Linked DNA regions of Mytilus edulis. The protein of the gene in region 1 purifies or fractionates together with the protein of each later gene. This does not show direct contact. Links are inferred from orthologs where the notes say so. Each region holds a gene or a part of one and is shown on either strand. Other genes may lie near its edges.

Region 1 (6,907 bases):
TTGACAAGTTTTTCCCAGTGACGGATGAACTCAAAAGTGGTCTATTGGGTAGCATACTTCTTGTGACCATGTGCATTGAACTGACTATGATAAAGACTCCTTTCTCAAATTATAATTTCTGTACAGTTAGCAAAAAGCTGTAATTAATTCAAACTGTAAAATCCATTCCTCTACAAAGTCGTTTCATATAATTGGATGTATGATACTATCATCAAAATGTACATATTTGCTGAAAAATAAAAATCATGGAGTTGATAAGATAGTCTTTAGTCTTTAGTATGCGTCATCTTGACACTGATTTTCTCATATGTACTTTGGTCACTTGCGCGTTTGAATACATTAATCACGTTTGTATTTTCTCTTTGTACTTTCACAAAGATAAGATAGGAAGACATCTGTATCTGTATCTGTATGTTACACAGTGCAGGATCCGATCGCGGATATATGCGCACTGGAAGGAGAGCGGGTTGGTTAGTCCAACCGTTGGAGGGCAGCCATGAAACCCTCAACTGTCTTTTGACATGCAGTTACCTCGTCCAGATGGTTCCACTCAACTATTGTTTTTGGAAAAAAAGAGTTCTTACGAATGTCTGTTTTGCAGTCTATTAATTTATACGATCTGCTATTTCTGGTTTCTTGTCTTTCCACTATGTTTGAATATTGGAAGTCACTAAAGTTTTTTGCTTTCACTTGGCGTTTATTTCTTGTCTTTTGTAGATAATCTGTTGGATCAATAGCCGGCACCAATCCCTCAACCACTTTGTAGAACATAGTCAGCCTCTGATGTTTCCTTCGCTCTTGGAGAGGTGGCAGTTTTAGCTTAGAAAGCATATTTGTGACGCATCCGGTGTCTCTGGATTTATAGTCGTGCAGAATGAATCGTGCTCCTCTTTTCTGTATGCTTTCTATTTTTTCTATTTCCCTGATGGTGAATGGGTCCCAGATGACAGCACCGTATTCTAGTACGGATCTAACCATGGCTAAGTAGGCAAGTTTTTTGCACTCTTGGGGGCACTGGCGTAAGTTTCTTCTCAGGAACCCCAGTGTACAGCTTGCCTTGCTTGTTGTTTTCCCTATGTGGCTGGTCCATTTTAGGTCATCAGATATGTTAAGACCTAGGTAAGGATTAGTTTGTACCTGTTCTAGTATGTGGTTGTCTAGTTGGTAGAAGTGTGTTGATTTTTGTTTGAAGCTCATTATATAGCATTTTTTTGCGTTGAATTTCATTCCCCAATTTAGTGCCCATACTTCCAGAGCTTTTAGATCTTCTTGGAGAGTTTGGTGGTCTTTTGTGTTTTTGATCTCTCGATAAAGTAGGCAGTCATCTGCAAATAAACGAACTTGAGATTTTACGCTTTCCGGGAGGTCGTTGATGTGGCATAGAAAAAGCAGCGGTCCTAGTACTGTGCCTTGTGGTACGCCAGAGTCTACGTGGGCATATTCTGAGTGCTCACCTTCTACGACAACCCGCATTGATCGTTTTTGCAGAAATGCTGCTAACCATTTGTTCAGATTTCCATCTATTCCGAAGCTGTTTAGTTTTGCCAGAAGTTTGTTATGTGGCACAGTATCAAAAGCCTTTGAAAAGTCGAGTATAGCCATATCAAGTTGAATGCCACTGTCGAAGCTCTTTAGTAGGTCTTCTGTTGTGACTAAGAGCTGTGTTGTACAAGAGTAACCTGATCTGAATCCATGATTTAAATTTGTCAGTATTTTGTGCTTTTCCAGATGTTTAAGGATGTGTTTACAGATGATGTGTTCCAAAAGCTTACATGATACACAGGTCAGTGAGACTGGTCTGTAATTTTCAGCTGCCTGGACGTCCCCCTTCTTAAATACTGGAGCTATGTTTGCACTTAACCAATCTTCAGGGAGAGTGCCTGTGTCAATTGATTTTTGAAAGATGGCGGATATACTTGGTGCGAGTTCTTCTGCACATGTTTTAAGGACAGTGTTTGGTATTCCGTCTGGTCCCATTGCTTTGGATGGATTTACGTTTTTCAATAATTTATGTACTCCTTCTGATGTTATGTCCAATTTTGAAATATTTGAAGTTGATCTTTTCTTTAGTGGTGGTATTTGTGAGTTCGGATCTAATTTAGTGAATACTGATTTGAATTGGTTGTTTAGAATTTCTGCCTTTTCTTTGCTGTCGTTTGTAAGGCCTCCATTTGACTTTAGTGGTGCTACTCCTATATTATCTTGTTTCTTTGCTTTCATGTAGTTCCAGAATGGTTTAGAACTATTCTTTTCAAAACCTGCATTGATGATGTCATTAATATAGTTCCATTCTGCTTTTCTAAATTGGCGTTTGCAGTCTTTTTGGAATTGTTTATATTCTTTGTAACTTCCAGTTTTTCTAGCATGTTTGTGCAACCTAGCTTTCCGTTTTAGCATTTTGCGCAGTTTTCTGTTTAACCATGGGACAGAGTGCTTTTTCTTTATCATTTTAGATGGTACGTTGGTGTCAATTGTTGCTTGTACACCGTTCTTGAAGGTTTGCCAGGTTTTATCTATTGGCATATCGTGTATATGATTATGGATGTCCTTTGTTATCATATTTATGTCTGTTTTAATCTGATCCCAGTTTGCTTTCCCATCAGATATCAGATTTTAAATAAAATTGACAAACCTTACACAAGAGCCATATATGTATTGTCAATGGTAAGGGGAGGGTTGGCATATTTAAACATTTTCATACCTTGATAAGAATTATGAAATCGGAAAATCATAAAATTTATCCAGACACAAAAATGAAAAAATTATACCAAAATGGCAAAAAAAGTCAAAATGCTCTTTTGTTTTGACCTCTTTCAGTGTCGACTTTTGGGTATATATAAATATTTTATTTTCATTGGTGCTTGACCATTAAAGTACATCAAACTGTTTAGATAGTTACCTTCATTGTGATAGCTTGTAGTTGATATTTTTCAAAGATTTGTATACATATTCACCACTGGATACAGACCGCTGTGGAATGCGGGTCGTTTTGTGCTTTCTTAGATTGGAGAATCCCATTACGGTAGATAACTCGTGATATTTGTATAACTTCCTCCATATAAGGTACACCTCCGAAATTTATAATCGTTGTCAAGCAGTAGAAAGCTCTATATAAGGATAGTGATCCGGCGGCGGCATCGTTAAATCTATCAAACAAGTTTATATTATAGAGGGTTGACGGTACCACGATTTCTCGAGGATTACAAGAACAATTATTATATCAGCAAAAAAATATTTATGTATTTAAGCTGTGATCATTCTTAATGCTCGGTTGGAAAATTTATTCAAGTCAATATGATGTTAGATGTATTAATTTCTCATATAAATATATTTATATATTATAGACCAAGGGTTTTATTATTTACAGTCTAATTGTATCGTGATTGTCATGGTATGTAAATTATATGATGTATCTATGCTAATCAATGTTCTTTTTCCTTATACTTGTATTCTCTAAATGCCCCTTGTGGGCTCTTAATTGGAAATAAAATATATCTTATCTATCTTATCTTATATCAAATGGCAAAATAGAAAGCTCAAACATATCAATCGAATTCAAAACAACTGTCATATTCCCGACTTCAGGGTACAGGCATTTTCTTATGTAGAAAATGGGGGATTGAACCTGGTTTTATAGCTAGCTTAACTTGACTCTCACTTGTATAACAGTCGCATCAAATTCCATTATATATATTGACATAGTTTCCTTCTGTCATATATCCTTCTCATACAGTCGACCCAACTTAAGTTAATCTCATACCCATAAATTTTCTACTGCACACAACCATTTCCCAGTTTCTCATGTTTTTTTTCTTCTAATTATATATGAAATCGGTCAACTATATTTGGTATGTTAAAACATTTTATTATGTATGTCAGTCTGGCAAAAATTAACAACTATAGGTCACCGTGCGGCCTTCAACAATGAACAAAGCCCATACCGCATAGTTAAGTTGGCAACACATTTTGTTATGTACCTAGTGTAAAAAGGTCATCAGTCTCTCCCATTTATAGATTGCCCATATCTTTCATAACAGTATACAGCTTCTGTAATTTATCGATGAAATGTTGTGTGTGTTCTGCCTGTTCGTGATGTCTGGTACTTTCATTGGCACTCGTGGCTTCAGATGCCGATTCATACTGAGAAACATTAACCAAGTGACACATCAATGGCACCACAATCACCTTTGATAACAACATGTGCTTGCTCATGTAATTGGCCATTATCCAACGCTGAAAATTCACAATTAGATTTGTGAAAAAATAAATTTTTCGTTATGGAATTCTGCAGCCAGCTGATGATGTGTAGGATCAAATAACTTCATGTCTCATCGTGCATTTTTTTAATTCAATTGTCAACATTAGATTCAGAATTGAAATTGTGGACTTTCAGTTTTGCGTCTTTCGAACCAGTCTACGATACTTAGCACATCCTGAGTTTGTTCACTGACCTCTGACATTAAACAGTAAGTAAACACTTATTGGCTTCTTTAAGTAGCTTGTAGAGTGTGCTTACTGTAACCTGGTTATTTACTGTGTCCAAGTGACACGTGATGCAGACAAAAAGAATTACGTTGTTCCCGAGGAAGCAATCTCTGCCTCAAACTTGGTTCCTGTTAATTCCTTAATTATCATCAAGCAGATTACCAATGGTCTTAAATGCTGCCGTTTCAACGTGCAAACCCCAAGACATAATGAATAAACTTGTCCTCGTCATAATTTTGGGTCAATGTCACTGCATTTTGTTTTGTTAATGTGTAGATTGGCTCATCAGTAGCAATAACAGATGTTTGAAATGGATTCAAATATACAACCGTGTTTTTTAATCACGTCAATGACATGCCGTAATGTGGCCGCTGAATGGACTTGGTAATAGCCGATAGGTTACAGCGATGATACACTAGTACTCACACCAAATACTGGACACCTTTTTGGAGGCATGGTCCACCGACCATGTTATATTGTCGTTTTCAACAGATGCCTCTTTTCGGTTTCTTTTCTCAAGCCCTTAATGCTCAACAGCCAAATCACTTTTGCATTTATTTTAGTTAAATTCCCAAGGGAAATTGGCTTTTGATGGAGTTGGATTCCTTTTCGTGATGAAAGTATGGTATATATGGTCAAAAGAATAAGAAAGTTCAGGAACCCTCTTAGGCAGCAACCATATGATTTTCTGGGGGGGCTATGGGTTTTTTTTCTGGACAAATTTTTTTTTTCGCCTGCGGCGAAAAACAATCTATTTTTTTCGCGACAAGTCGAAAACAATTTTTTTCTTTCAATTTTAGCATTACATATAGTGGCAGCTGAGGGTGAAACAAACAATTTTTTTTTCTCAGAATCAAAAACAAATTATTTTTTTCTCCAAAAACTGGAAACAAACTTTTTTTTCCAAAAAAAACCATAGCCCCCCCCCCCCCCCAGAAAATCAAATGGTTGCTGCCTTAATCCTGCTGTCTTTACTGTGAAATAACTCACGTTTTTCAACTGCATTGTCAGCTGATGGATGCTGGAAGAGTGAAATGCTTGTTCTATGGAAAAAAAAGTTGTTACTGTCGTTACAGTTGAATTATGATCTATGTTGCAGCTGTAGGAAACAAGCTTTTCATTAAGACTGTCGTACAAACTACTCCCATGTTTTTCTATATATTTCCTTAATGCTTCATCTTCTAGAAGGGCTTATGGCACCCAGTCATACGGAATGATAAGGCAATGTTCATGTAGCCCTTCTCAAAGAAGTCTCCTTCTAGTGTTAGACAGACATCCCTAAATAAAACACTGCAAATTGGGTTTCGTGGTCTCCTTAATGCCTGTGAGTTGCTGTTCCTTCTCTGTACATCAATTATACTGTAAAATATGAGCTATTGTTAGATCTGTCTTGTATGCACTATAGCAAAATTGTGACTTCATCTCAGATTCATTCTCAATCATTCACCATACAATCCTTAAGAAGGGTGGAGGGAATTGTACTTTCAACACATCCTTCCTGAAATGTTCTAGTAAACTCTTCTTCTCATATATGTTATGATGGTATGATACTAAACCCATAACGGGAAGGATTGTGCCTGATGTTCATATGATGAAATCATAATCTTTCAGTCAGTTTAATTGAAGTCTGGAGCTGGCATGTCAGTTAACTGCTAGTAGTCTGTTGTTATTTATGTATTATTGTCATTTTGTTTATTTTCTTTGGTTACATCTTCTGACATCAGACTCGGACTTCTCTTGAACTGAATTTTAATGTGCGTATTGTTATGCGTTTACTTTTCTACATTGTCTAGAGGTATAGGGGGAGGGTTGAGATCTCACAAACATGTTTAACCCCGCCGCATTTTTGCGCCTGTCCCAAGTCAGGAGCCTCTGGCCTTTGTTGGTCTTGTATTATTTTAATTTTAGTTTCTTGTGTACAATTTGGAATTTAGTATGCGTTCATTGTCACTGAACTAGTATATATTTGTTTAGGGGCCAGCTGAAGGACGCCTCCGGGTGCGGGAATTTTTCGCTACATTAATTGAAGACCTGTTGGTGACCTTCTGCTGTTGTTTTTTTCTATGGTCGGGTTGTTGTCTCTTTGGCACATTCCCCATTTCCATTCTCAATTTTATCTAACTTATGGTTAATCTTGTGCCAATGCAAGATCTTGGCAGCTTTGGCAATGATTCAATATCAGAGATAGATAGATGATTGTGACACGACCGCACCATTATCATTTTTAAAGCTAAAAGAACATCTCCTCCCTTCTAATGAGCTCCAAGTTCAGAAATTTCGGTGATTGGCTAGAACTGCAAGATGGAATATAAAGGATAATCATAATTTGTATTATCTGCACTATGTAGGTGAGGAGCTCTGAAAACACAGTGGATGCACTTCCCTTTAATTCTTTAGACAGTTCGCGAAACGGCATTTTTTC
Region 2 (7,248 bases), on another chromosome or scaffold:
TATTTTAAATGAAAAACAAGCAATGTTTATGTATATGAAGCTAGTGAGTAAATATATAAGATGGCCTAATGATAAGACCTAAAATGTATCAGTGGCTCAAATATTTTTTGGAAGCTCTGCCCTTATGGTATTCATATTTAAGTCTTTTTTGTACATGTAAGTTTGCTGCCTCAAGTACTAATGTTATATTTTCTTCTTATCCTACAATCAGTATTTCTACAAACAAATACAAGTGCACAAATAATTAATATCATATTTGTATACGTTTTTAATGCTGCTTTTAATAGCACATGGTTATATTATATTCAAAGACAGTTTCATTTTAGTGTCATTACTGGGGTCTTGTTATTGAATTGTCAAAAATATGATACTCCTTTATGCTCACTAAGTACTAGGTGAAAAGTTCACGAAGCCTTTGCATTTTCTCCTCTCTCTTAAGTTTATGCAATTTAATATTTGCATTTTCAATCATTGTAGCTGATTACATTCAATTTAAGGCGTTAATGCTTTATATTGCTTACCTTTTACGAGGATTATCTTCACCCCATCCAGACACTCTTGAGGGCTTCGGCGGCTCATCCTGAAATATTAACAGATCTTTAAAATGGATAAGATTATTCTTTTTTGGTAGCATATATATACAATAATTGTTTCTGAACTTGTGCTAAATATTAAAACACTTACATGACTTAAAGAAATCTACAAATGTATCTTGTTTCCTAAATTTGTATATAAAACCATTCAAGAGAGTAGAAAGTATCTTTGACTTGTAAAATAATGATGATATTCAAATTATATATTCTTACTAAATTCAGGTTGCTTATAATTATGGCATGTTATAACAAGAATATGTGCCCATAGGACACTATGCACAGCTGGAGTGGCAATATCAGACAGGCACACACTTTTTTTAGATTAAGGTGTTACATGTCAACATCATTTTCAATATTTCATACATAGTAATTTGATTCAAATACAAATCTGGAGTCAATTTTTGACTTTTGATGATTTGTTAGTACTTGATTTTACCTTCTGTTTTGATAATCATTAAATCTACCAATGTTATTCACGATATAATATGTTTAAATATGTAACATGAGTGTCAGCTGAGCTTTGTCATATACATATATTAGTAGTAAAACATGAACACAGGATCTTCATTTCAATGTGACTGATAGTTATATAAATCCTTATTTTATATATGTAAATTCATTAATGTTTTGTTTTGGGGTAATTCATGTATAAAATGTGACATTTTTTTCTTTTAATGTCAAAATGTTGTCTGACTATAAAGAAAACCTACAGGTTCTTGTCTTCCAGCCGGCTGTCTTGACTTTGGTGCCTTTGGTGAGTTTTCTACGCTAGCTTCAAAATCAGGAGCATCTGGTGGATTTGCTGTTTTCTGTTGGGCTCTTCTCCCTGTTTTAGCAGTACCCTATAATCAAAATAAAATGATAAGACACATACATGACAGTAGTAATGGGGGTACCTTCATGATAAATAGTGGTAAAAGTTCTTTGGTGCATGACGATAAAATGTACACTTTTTTTGTAGACAAAATAAAAATCAACTAATTTTGACTTACAAATGTATCACATTCATTTTTTCCAAAATTGACACAAAAGATTATTATTTTTAACCTCTAACAAATTTTGATAGGGAAATTTTGACAAGTCAAGGTAAAACTTTAACCAATTTGATGCTAACGGTAGCTGCAAATGGTTGTTTGACGCCTGGCATTTCTAACGTGACGGTACCCAAATTGCACCTATTTTGACAGTTTTTTCACCTACGTTGTTTTATGATCAAGAAAAAAATGTCCATACTGGGTTTATTTTGTAGCCTTATCCTTCTTTATTGTATAGGTACACCATTTTGATTTTTAATCCATATTGAGTCATAAAAAAATGGGTTTGAATCAACCTCCAAACTATCCATGATTCTGTAATGAGGAGTACCCAAATTGCATCCATGCTTAAATTCACATCGTCAAAAGTCTAATAACCGAGCTTTTGTTTAATTTCTTCAAATATTTTGAACAATTGGATATTCGTCCATGCTTACTCCTCATATTTTACGAAATGGATACTTATAATATATTGTATTTGCTAATTTTAAAAAGATGACGTTTTGATGACGTCGCATGGTGACGTTTTCGTACATTTTGCTTTTTCAGTAAACAGTCCATCTGTTGATAAAGACTGTGAACGTTTTGTGTATATCTAAATATGTTTACCTATGTTGAAAGACGTGCATAGTATCGAATCATAAAAATACAAATTGTTTAGTCTCTAGGAAATCTTGTAAGATTTCCGTTGCAATTTTTTCTAAATAGGTGCAATTTGGGTACTCGGTGCAATTTGGGTACCCTTTCGTTACCCTCTATAGCTACATTGTAATAAAAAGGGGGCAAGGAGTATCTTGGTTTCTAACCTTCCCCCTTTCCTACTTTTTTTCCCTCTCCCTACTCTCAATTCCTTCTACTTTTACCTAAAGCCAAAATTCTAACTAAAAAAAACCTCACAGAAATGTATCAAACATGTCAAAGATATTTTTATAAATTCATGATTAGGTTATAATTTTTACGTGTAGGAAACAGTTTTTTTTGACAGGTATAACCTAAATTTACCTTAGCATTCTTTGATTCGCCAAAATCAAAATCATCTGCCATTTCTATCAGTTGTAATTTAAGTGATCAACTGAGCAATTTACAAATATTACTGCTGTCATGGAATGTGTTTATCTAAGGGAGAAAACTTAGGTTGAGAAAAGTAATTTCAAGTCGATGACGGTTTGTCTCCGGAAAATATCTTACTGTGTCATAGATGATAGATATTTATAGTTTACCTTCAATTTAAAATGTGGGAATAATAAACCTGTGTTGTTTGATACATTTGAAGCAAGAACATTAACGATCCCTGTGTTTAACACTTTAGCTGCGCTTTCCATAATAAGGCTATCAATCGTTGTCCTGGAGCATATTTAATCTCCTCATTGTTTCATTCCTTAATATTAATTGTTTCATATAAAGTGTGCACATGTTTAGTACATTTGTTTTAAATGTCATGAATAGTTTTGTTCTTATTTAAGTATGATAACACATGTGATCAATAATATAAGTGTGCTTAGTAGATAAAGTTTAAAGTAACAATATATCAGGTGCTTATATATATATTAATTTATTGCAGCCATAATACAGCCACAATACTCATTGACAAAATATTGGAAAGGGCTTATCATCGGGTAGAACATGGGAATTTCCCTAGGAACTTGTTTATCTAGTATTACAAATGGGTTACAAATGATACTTCTAGATATTCACTCGGGACAAATGTCAATGAAACAAACTGAGTCAATGTAACAAAAGCCTCAGATAGCATACTATGGAAGAATCAGAAATAAAATAAAAAATCACGGGGAAATATTGTTTTACAGAAAAATCTGTTGTTTGTTCATACTATTGACCGCTTTTCGTCATGATAAGTTTACCGTGCTCAAAGTCAATTACGCCTGGTTCTCACACTAAATTAGTTTCAAACAGGCAACAAAAATCCATACCTCACTGTAACATATGATGTATTACTCACATGATAATATTTGATGATGTATAAAGATATCGCTGGTTATTCAAATTGTCCAGTTTATCTAGAACCGTTTGCCTCTTCTGATCTCACTAAGTACTCGGCGATTATTTGTTCAAATGTCTCCTGTGATAGATTATAAGAGATACTTTAACCATACAAAAATGTGAATAAAAATGTGAATAAAAGTATGAATTAAGATGAAAATAAAGATATGATTAAATCCAGGATCCTCAACTATTAATTCTCTAAAATTACGGTAACATTAAGATTCGCGTAGTGGAATAGACATTTCTCAATTGTGGAAGACGAAATTTTGCCTTTTCACTTTGTGTTAGTTTCAGTTTAAACATATTTTAGATTGTTTAAAAATGACAATTTTACAAATGTGTTAGTGTTTGGTCTCAGTTACTTATATCCTCATTTTTATCCCATATAACACACATGTAATATATTATTAATGTTCTTCATTTGAAGTATCAATTCTACTCTTTTTTTTTGATTTTTTTTTGTTTCAATTCTTATTCTTCATTCATCTTCAGAAGTTTACAATGTTAAGACTATATATACTTAAAAACTGCAAATCACTTTGCATGTGATTAATCATTTAATTCTTTTATAATCTCAATCCACTTCAGGAAATGCTCATGCAGCGGTGTTAGACATCATCATCGATCAGTGTGCCATTTCAGATCCTGCATGACCGTATGGCCAAAATTATTGAAAAAATATTGGAGTATTTGGTTGATATTGAGACAGGAATGAAAACAATCTATATTTATTAGTACTCAAAATTATATTTGAATGTCATCGACCATTGTATAGAATGACAATGCATAATATATCAGAGCATGTAATAACCATATTTGTGAAGTACATTGTACCATCAACAACGTATAGAATGATATAACATACCTAGTGTTATAATTACCTCCTCTGAGCTTAAAACTTTACGTTATCTAATATGAATATATGCCAATCATAAATAAGCCATATAAGGTATATATTGTGTGAAGAAAAATACAATTACGTAACAGTTCAAAATTTATGATGACAACTCAATGATATGACAGACATTTCAAAATTTTGTAAAACAATTGTTCCCAAATATATTCTCTCCTAAACAGACGAATACATTAAAATACATTTCATTAATCTAAACCGCATTAACTTTATTTCAATGATCATATTTTGTTTGAGAATTATTTCTAAAATGGAATTTAACTTTAATCTGAATTCATTGTAGTTTTGGCAGCTTTAAACCTAGATGAAGCACAGACCAGATTAGCCATTGAATTAACGTTTTTCTCACTGTATGAGTATGATAAACATGCTAATAAAGAAAAGGGTTAAATAATTTAACCTTATTATCAAATATCATATGTTTTTGTGCTCAATTGTAAAATATCCCAAATGTTATCAAACTTGCTTTGTATTAACTATTGACTTTGTCTGGTGGAACCGTATCGGACTTTTAAATTTTATACTAATATACAAAATTAAAAATCAGTAACTAAATGTTAACAGACTTAATGAAATATTTTCTTAATTTATGAAGTGCACCGTTAGAGCATAAAGAAACCGAAGGGATCACACGTCTACTTAATTCAATCAAAAGTATCGTATTAATTGCATTATTCGGGTGGATTAGCGGGTCATCTCCTTGGCGACCGAAGACAATAGTATTAATTCGAAATTGGATCATTATGTCTTTGTTATTAAATTATTAAGTATGTAACAGGTGAAAATATAATCCCAATAAAATAAAGAAAAACAAACCAACATTACCGATGATGTTGTCAGATTAGGATATTGTAATCTACATTTGGGATAGTAAAGAATTCGAAACATACCAAAATGGAATCCATAGATGCAAGGAGAAATCGCTTATATGGTCCAGACAGGAATTTACGAGTGGAAGAAATCAGACGAAATTTATCTAAAAGTTGTGTTTTAAAGGAGGGAGAATATAATTTTACACCAAAAGGACTTTCCAAAAGTGTATTCGGCACCAGTTATGAAACAGATTTTCCTGTAAGTTTATAACTTATGTGCATTCATTATTTATGAAAATGTTTTGCAGGTATAGTTTTACATTGTTTAATATATATTGAATCGTCAAATTACTCAAGTTGTATATTTTGTTAATAAATATAGTTGCTTATGATCCTGTTGACAAGTTTAATCATTTTTATCATTGCGGAAAGCTTGGCCAAGTTATCAAAGTATTGAGACCCCCAAAATATATAATATCCATGACCCCGTAGGGATAAAAGGCTAACTATAGATGAGAATTAAAAAAAAATGTAACTAAGCATTGAAAAAGGAGTGAGGAATATCAATTTTTGAGGGCTATCTCCAATTTTATGTCCAATAAAAACAAACAACAGCATAGCCAAACTTTAAAACGGTAGATCAAGAGTGTTTATCAAACGGTCCTTTTATATATCTTACTATATACGGTAACCGGATGAATGTACTCACTGTCAAAGGCCCTAGAGTGGCATGTTTTTGTTAACACTCTTGTCCTATAGGTTTGCAATGGATAGTTGTCTGACTTAGTTAATCATACCATATATTTTGGACAATATGTGGACAATAATGACCATTTAATCATGCAAAAGCGGCAGTTTCAAAAATAAGATGTAACTGCTGATTTGGATGCAAGATGTTAATTACAATTTTGTTTCTATATATATATCTACATTAACACACCCCTTGATTTCATTTTTTCTTTAATTTGGGAACTGAATCTTAAATACTGAACACAGTCATCATCAATTTATGTATATTTCAGTGGAAACGAACTAATCATGATGAGAATGCTCGGGTAAAATACATTATGAGTTCATTGAGGGGTTTTCTGGTTTTGAAATTTTAGCTTCACGTTGCAATGGTGAAAGAGCACTTACGTCAGCATAGTCGATTGCACATTATGTCTGTTTATGATTACACAGTTTAGACTAAGTGATTGATATAGAATTTCAAAACTTTTTTCATTTCTTCAGTGACATTCACTAGTGATTAATTATTTTTTATTTGATATATTCATTATGGTATCTTATGTCACATTTGTTCTTATCATGTATTTGGTTAATAAAGAATTGAATTGTATTTTCATACAGGCTGTATTACATAATTTTAGATCATATCTTTTGTCAAACGTTAATAAACTTGTTTAATTAAATGGTATCTCTGATCAGGTGTCCATGACAGAACTAATTGTATTCTTTTCAAGGAGATTTAAAAATATCCTAAATTAAAAGTACTAAAAAGAATGTTACATAGGTTTTTTTTTATAACACAAGAATATCTTTTCAACACAGAGACCTAAACAATAGAAATGTATGTATACACTTTATCACCCGATGTGAAACATTTAATTAGATAAAGACACATAAAGCAGCGGCACTATGTTTTAAGTTGTGGTGTTCCATACTTTTGCCCCTTATTTTCAGGTTAATATATGCTAGTAAAAATAAAGTAGTATTTTTTTGGAATTGAAAGCGTTTTATTGGAACAATTCAGCAGAACAATTTAGAGCATGACATATTGTAAAGACATATGTCTTTTGATAAAAACTTTACATTGACTCGCATATATCTTTTTGTTCTTATTTCGATGTTTTGCTTTCTCATTGAAGTATACCTACATCTCCTTTATATAT

Evidence for each region.
Region 2: the proteins of WD repeat-containing protein 19-like (region 1) and intraflagellar transport protein 43 homolog A-like purify together in Homo sapiens (affinity purification with mass spectrometry; 3 studies listed by BioGRID and IntAct, counting the BioPlex papers as one, with this or other methods). This does not show direct contact. The link is inferred for Mytilus edulis from reciprocal best matches to the Homo sapiens genes WDR19 and IFT43.

Annotation. Positions count from the first base shown.
Region 1 is NC_092351.1:26,542,614-26,549,520, reverse strand, and holds the start of WD repeat-containing protein 19-like, read right to left. Parts: upstream 3,017-6,907; 5' UTR 2,906-3,016; coding exon 2,900-2,905; intron 1-2,899. UniProt on the Homo sapiens protein: As component of the IFT complex A (IFT-A), a complex required for retrograde ciliary transport and entry into cilia of G protein-coupled receptors (GPCRs), it is involved in cilia function and/or assembly.
Region 2 is NC_092346.1:63,096,131-63,103,378, forward strand, and holds the start of intraflagellar transport protein 43 homolog A-like, read right to left. Parts: upstream 3,004-7,248; 5' UTR 2,950-3,003; coding exon 2,848-2,949; intron 2,777-2,847; exon of another isoform or gene 2,672-2,776; coding exon of another isoform or gene 2,630-2,671; intron 1,436-2,629; coding exon 1,304-1,435; intron 581-1,303; coding exon 522-580; intron 1-521. Other genes in the region: uncharacterized protein, read left to right, coding at 5,439-5,615, 6,379-6,411. UniProt on the Homo sapiens protein: As a component of IFT complex A (IFT-A), a complex required for retrograde ciliary transport and entry into cilia of G protein-coupled receptors (GPCRs), it is involved in ciliogenesis.